2 linked regions of the Tribolium castaneum genome follow. The protein of the gene in region 2 binds, or shares a complex with, the protein of the main gene of each other region. Links are inferred from orthologs where the notes say so. Each region holds a gene or a part of one and is shown on either strand. Other genes may lie near its edges.

Evidence for each region.
Region 1: the proteins of partitioning defective 3 homolog B (region 2) and Pten are in contact, whole or in part, in an NMR structure (PDB 2K20), measured with the Rattus norvegicus proteins. The link is inferred for Tribolium castaneum from reciprocal best matches to the Homo sapiens genes PARD3 and PTEN. Residues at the interface, in NP_112514.1 of Rattus norvegicus: Ala599, Gly600, Leu601, Gly602, Val603, Ser604, Val605, Lys606, Gly607, Asn608, Arg609, Ser610, Lys611, His614, Lys622, Ile625, Met659, Leu662, Arg663, Met666; in NP_113794.1 of Rattus norvegicus: Asp393, Glu394, Asp395, Ser398, Gln399, Ile400, Thr401, Lys402, Val403.

The regions. Positions count from the first base shown.
Region 1 is NC_087399.1:159,320-163,724, reverse strand, and holds the start of Pten (phosphatidylinositol 3,4,5-trisphosphate 3-phosphatase and dual-specificity protein phosphatase PTEN), read right to left. Parts: upstream 3,057-4,405; 5' UTR 2,501-3,056; coding exon 2,455-2,500; intron 2,383-2,454; coding exon of another isoform or gene 2,241-2,382; intron 1,077-2,240; coding exon 828-1,076; intron 600-827; coding exon of another isoform or gene 580-599; coding exon 1-579. Other genes in the region: uncharacterized protein LOC103314152, read left to right, coding at 197-599, 2,241-2,382, 4,012-4,405. UniProt on the Homo sapiens protein: Dual-specificity protein phosphatase, dephosphorylating tyrosine-, serine- and threonine-phosphorylated proteins.
Region 2 is NC_087395.1:16,312,584-16,315,181, reverse strand, and holds the end of partitioning defective 3 homolog B, read left to right. Parts: intron 1-1,338; coding exon 1,339-1,633; 3' UTR 1,634-1,805; downstream 1,806-2,598. UniProt on the Homo sapiens protein: Adapter protein involved in asymmetrical cell division and cell polarization processes. Seems to play a central role in the formation of epithelial tight junctions. Targets the phosphatase PTEN to cell junctions.

The sequences.
Region 1 (4,405 bases), on a different chromosome or scaffold from region 2:
GTTGCGATATCGAAAAACACACATAGCCTTGGCCTCCTGCAAAATTCGGCACCGGCTCCAAAACAATCTGCTTGATGTACATCGACACAGGCACATACAACAACTTGTTCCTAAGCAGGGTCTCGTAGTAACGGATATATCGCACTTGGCTGGGAATGGTGACCCCTTTGTGATCTTGCGTCCGTGCTTGTCCGTAATGGTCGAGGGCTTCGTCAGCGGTAGCAAAAGCTCCACTATGCAAAAGGTAACAGCAAATCATGGTCCCGGTGCGCCCTTTCCCCGCCTTGCAATGAACTACGGCCACGTTCTCTGGATCTTTGCTCAGCCAATCGTGAACGCTGTGACAAAACGGCTGAATCAACTCGATTTTGGGCGGGTTGTGGTCGTCGAACGGAAAGGTTTGTACTCGGTTGTGGAACTTGGACGTGTCGTAAGTGCGTTCCGAACACAAGTTGTAGATGAAGTAGTGGTTGTTGTGTTTCGAATCGAGGAGCTTCACCACATCGTCGATGTGGTTGCGGTACACGCCTTCGATGTTGGACGCCGGGTAACCCATTGCTATTATGCTATCGGTTATGTCTACAAACGAGTCAAGGAAAGTAACTAAAAAAATATTTTTAAAAATAAGCTTTTATTTAAAATCTGCACTAAAATCCCTTAGAGGGTGATTAACTCTAAACAGTATAGCATTGTCACGGAAATTACGTATGTATGCAAAATTTCAGTTTATTTGGACAACAGAAACACAGGCAACAAAGCATTAATTAAATAAAAGCTTTTAAAAACAGTACTAACAGAATTATTTCTTTTAGCATTGAAAAGGATACATGTCAGGTCGAGATTGAACCCGTCCTGCTTGTATCGGATCCTCCTCTTGCTGACCAGCCCCCGTATAGGGTTGGTGATGTTCATATTGGGGAAAGATGTTGCCATATTACCTGAAGAGTACGGTCTTGCGTTGACGTGATTTTGAACAGGCAAATGCCCGTTCAAATTGTTCGAACTTGTGGGCTCATGTGACACATGAAGGGGTGTAACGACTGAATGTAGTTGGCCACATATTTTCGACGATTTATCTGATGCGAGAGAACAAAACATTACATATTGCAATTCTATCGGTTGCAGATATGTATAATCTTATAGTATGTAGTGTACTCCCCCACTAAAAGGACTTGTCTTTATCTTATCATTATTTTATTATCCTTCTGTCTGACTATTACGATTTTGTATTCTACCCACTTTATTACAAGTCTAGAGGTTATGCAATATCTGGACGAAATACAAAAAACGGAGGATGATAATGGTAATTTATTATCAATGGAAACAGAAGGAATTACAATTTGTGCAAATATTTGGACATGATACGTGACCGTTGACATGTCGGTTTCATCTCGTTTTATACCTGCAACTTAATAATCAAAACGAAAAACGCTAATCTTAATTGTAGTAATCAATTTAAGACACTTAAAAAAATCGTAAATTTTGGGCCGAGGCGGAGCCGAGTACTTAATGAGTATTACATTAATTTTTCTCGTAACAGGTACTCAGTATCACATTTTAATAATTCAATATCTCAAAATCATAGATAACGATGCGGCAGATAAAATTTACTCATTAAATTAATTTCGCTCACATTTTTATGAACGGAAATATTTAACAGTGGATGTAATTTCGCACCAATGAGCACACATTGGCTTACATTTCAAAATACTTGATCAAATTTCACAACAAAGCAAAGAAAAATCTTTAAAAAAAATCGCTTGCATTATTGCATCAGAACAAAGGCGTGATGACTATTATGACATGTTCATTGGCACCAATTACAATTAAAAAAATTAATAAAAAAAAGGTAATGTTATAATAAAAATCAATGTTGACCCAAATATCAAAACCGGAAGACGATAAGTAAGCGACGCCTAAATTGCGTAATTTTGTACACATAATAATATTCAACTGTCAAAATAGCAACAGTCACGTGATATATGTCAACAAATCCGGAAGCGGGTGTTAAAATTATCCCCGATTTGAATTTGAGCTATTTTTGTGCGACTTGACAACAACGCGTCGTTTTAATGTCACAAGAAGACCATGAACCGTTTCATCGTTGCCGAATTTTGTCCCCAAAATGAGCGAATGACTGAAACCGATTTGATAGAAGGAAACGTGCCTTGAAAGTTTCCTAAATTATCCATTAAATGGTTTAAAAATAACTCTGCATAAACAATTTAAATCATGAATAGTTGATGCCCTTCGCAGGCCCGGCAACAGTCCGGCGACCTTCAACCCTTTGGAAGAGGAGCGAGCCGACCCTTGGGGGGGTTCGGGGCGCAGGACTGTTTACACGACCCAAAGCGGAACTATTTACATATTGCGACCTTCAAGGTAATGTTATCTCGGTAATATTATGTCACTGATGCGCGTTTCTTGTATCCAACCCTCCAACATGGGGCTTACCTTTAAATCGGTCCTTTGATTTGCCGCAGCTGGAGCACAGCCCCATAAAAAAGTCTCGGCAAAAGTCCACGAAATGTTGATAGCTCGTGCGCTGGCGTGCGTGCCTACCATTGAACCCTCGTGTCCGCTGTGTCAGCCCCCGGGGCGCAGCCCCTCTAGAGGCCCTTTAAACGGACAGTGCCTCCGGTGAACAATCACACCACATGCGTTCCACAGCCGTCCTGATTATAGACATCACGCACTCGTCCCCATTTCGGAGGCCGGGGCTGCTCTGAGCACCTCGATCAAGGGATTCAAAGCCGGTTTGGGGCTGTTTTCGGACTAAATCGCTGCCACACTCAAACGTCTTTGTCTTTTTTACGGCACTACACGGTCTGTCGACACAGATTCAGTCAATGTAGACAACTACATCGCGTCGACTGGTGTCAAGAATTCCGATAGAGGGCGCGCAAAAGACCGGGAATTTCATAATTTCACGCGAATGAATGAAAGAAAACCGCGATTTCCGGACGAATTCTCTCATTAAAATTACGATTCACCGCTAGTGACATTTCAGAGGATTGCGAAACGATGACTGAACATTCTACAGACAAGACTTTACATACAATCACAATTAATATTTATGAGGGGACTTTTATAAAAGGAATGTCACGTGGAAAATGGTTCCCAGAATTTGCACGAAATTTCAAGAATCGTCATATTAAGCCTTTTATCAGTAATCAAATATTTGGCGTTTGATTAATTCTTTTCTACTCCGATAGATAAGCGAATAGAGGTCTGGGCAAATACAAAAATCAACCAGAGACTTCATGACACCCACCGATTGATTATTATGTCATATGACAAAACTAATAATCCACACCGTTAGTTCATTTATCGACTCATATACTAATTATTTCAAAATTACAACCCTGCTTGTAACGATTTTCCTACATTTTTCTAGCATTTGTGATTTAAAAACAAAAATGTAAATAACATAAGACATTTTTAACGCAATAATCTAGAAGGCATCGATCACAATCAATTTGTCAATTAATTGAAAGTGATTAATTATTGCCACATTTTTTTTACATTTAATTAAAAATTAACAACGTAAGTGCCCAAATTTGATAACATATTTAACACATAAATTAACTTAAAGTCCGATTCATTTTAATGGCATAATGGGTAACTTTAGAAATTTAAACTTTAGTTGCGAATTTTATCTTAGTTTTTTATTTAAATAAATTTAAAAAAATCGACGTTTGAATAGTTTTCCAAAAATAACTGCAACTTTTTTCTTGAATATCTGATTTATGGACGGAGTCAAATTTACAAAATGATTTATTATTCTACGCTTATATTATCAAAGCCTACTCTTATTCCAGTTCAAATGAATACGACTTTATGTTTTCTAACGAAACCCACCGAATGAAAATGATATCATGTTCACAATCTCTAACCTCGGAAAAACTCCAAATTTTTCCAAGAATTTTCCCACTTCCATGCTTATACTGGTCCAAATCATTTTTTTCATACATTTTAATTTTTTTAATTGTTTGTTTTAAATGCTTCTAGGATGATGTATGAAAAGAGCCTGGCTGAGACTTTAAAAAACCTGTGCCTTGACCTTCACCCTGACCCATTTCCCACAAAAACATACAAAAAAATCGTCCTCCAGTTAAAAAAAATCACAACTATTATGGAAGAAGTAAATGAGCGTAATGTTTGCTGCATTAGCGATATTCTCACCAAAATATCAGACGACGTTGTTGTTTTCACCGAAATATCCGAAATGCCAAAAAATTGGTTAATCCCAAGCGTTGAACTTTGCAAAATGTTAACACAATGGCAAGTTCCGAAAACATTCAACAGTCTTTTACAAAAACTGCTAGCCTATATCGTAATTAAGCTGAGTCGTTGCACGAGTGAAGATGCAGCTTCAATTTTGAATGACTTCAAAGAATTAAAA
Region 2 (2,598 bases):
ATTAACTTATCCAGCCAACATTCACTATTGTCATCCCTATAATAGGGATGCTGTAAGTCTTGATTTTCATCATCGATAATGTGTTCCTTGTGACATCTGGGAACACAACGGTTGTGAAAGAAGTGTTCATACTTCACAAATGTTAGGAATAACCTTCCTTGTATTTCTTTTAGGCAGATTGAGCAAATAATTTTTAATTATACAGATTTCTGTTGTTTAATTTCCTCTTTCGATGTCTTTTTCAATTCGTATCTTCTTTTGTTGGTCCTTTTTTTTTTCAGAAGTTTTTGGATGGGCTAAGTAATTGTGTATTCACAGCTGACTAGATTTTTCTTGCTGTGTAATATTAGTCTCTGTATTCTTTATTCTTTCATTCCGAAGTACTATGATTTTTGGGCTTACTTCACTTTCTAATATAATGCTATTTTCTTGATCATTTGGACACCCCTGTTTAATAACTTCATTCACAAAAAGAAAAACGAAAAAGGTAACTATGCTACCTTTCTGTTGTGCTTTCAGTAGGAGTTCAAAAATAAATTTTCCTAAAATGAAAATGCGCAAAATATAAATTTTATAGTTACTGGAGATTGACTGATTGCCGTCAGTGTAAAAAATTCAAATAAAATACATGAAATAGCAAGATACAAACTTACCTTCGGTCTTAGAATTGTTGAAGACTTCGAAAAAAAATAAGATACCAAATAATACAACAGTTCCTGTGACATAGTTCAGATTATCACTTGCGTATACAGGGTGAGTCAATAGTGGGTTATTTCTGACATGTCCTAAGATGCAACCAAAAATACTAATTGCACTTCCTACTTGGATACTTTGTTTGATTTTTCAAAACATTAATTAAATCAGTATTGTTGGTTGCATATTTAAAAAATTCAGAACTAACCGACTATTGACTCAGTCTATCGATGTTTTCTTTTTTTTAACAAACATTTTATTTCCACTGGTGGTACTACAATTTATTTATATGACATGTAGATCAAACTACGTCTTTTCAAAAAAAACAATAGAAGAAATAGTTTACGCTTCATATCCTACTAATATGAGTTCAATAGCTATCCACTGTCGAATGTGTTTAAACCATTTATCTTTTGATTACAAAAGAATAGCTTCAATTAAAAAGTATTGGAAAACTGTATTTAGTTGCAGTGTGAAACAGTCTCTTTAGATCACTCTGTATTTCCGCTTTTCTTACACTCGCGGCAAATACTGTAATAATTAAATAAATATTTGTCTTTTAGATTTTAAGTTTTGTCCTCTTTGGCCTTACACTTAAAAAAAGTGTTTGTAATTTTAAATTAGTGACGTCACATTTTTTATCAGTCGAAAGCAGCACCAGTACCACTCCCAGCGCCAGACCCGCACCGACAACCAGCTTCGTCCCGTGTCGAACTTCTACGAGTACGAGAGTATCCAGTCGATGCTTAACAACCGTCGGGGGAACCCCCCGGTGCCCCATAGTAACCCGCCTGTGATGTACCAAGACGTGAACTCCAATTCCCTCCCTCGGCAAGGCCAACCACCCGTTCAAGGCCGGCACCCGAACCGTAACCACAGAGGGCCTTTTGTGACCCACGTGACTATCGGCGATAGCCAACAGAACGGGACTAAAGTGTAAAGGTGTTGAAACTGTTTTTTGTGATTTGTATCATCAGTATTATGAAACTGTTTCAGCGCCGCGTCCATTTTATCTGTATATACGAGCTTTATTTTATATTGTAAATAATTTATGATATGTATAATAAGAAAGTGAATTTTATACAAACAAGAAATACAGTTACAAAATTGTCCGTATTGCATCTTTATTTAAATAAGGTATACAATAAAGAATGGTGATATTACAATACAAATAAACACAACTTAAATGAAATTATGTAATTGAGGGAGTGGCGAGCACTCGAGAGCCAGCGCTGAGGTGTTTGGCGGGAGCTTGAAATGCAAAGTCTCCGTAGCATTCAATATAGAATTTGATATACACTTGCTCAATGTGAGCAATAATAATGAACAACATGCAGAGGCATGACTAACCTAAATCATAAACAAGCTAATTCATGATGGCAATGCGAACCGATGGGTATGGGTAACAAATGAGAAATAAATAAGTATAAAAAATCATAGTCTATAATATCACTAACAGCGAAATACGTATGGATGTCCACAAATAAAAACTCTGCACGTGTGTTCGGTCTCTAGGGAAGAACAGTAATCTGAATGTGTTTCTCAAGAGGTTACGGTGAAGAAGCTGTGAGTGTGAACATTGGTTTAGTTAACGGAAAGACTGCTGCGGCTGTACTGGAATCGGATGGGCAAGCGAACCGACTATCAACCTACACAGGTTAGCCATCATCCAGAACTTTGAGCGAATTATCACACGGGACCTCTAACAGAAATAAATAATCCTTACTCTAATTTCCTCAATAAAAAATCCAATATCTACAATTTCATACACTTGTTAGAATTACCCTATTTACAATCCCTCCACTGACCCAACTCGCCATTCACGTCAGTCGCAAACAACAGAATTTAGGCCCGAAAAAATTCGTTGACGAAACAAAAGCTGACGTAAATGCTAGTTCCCAACGA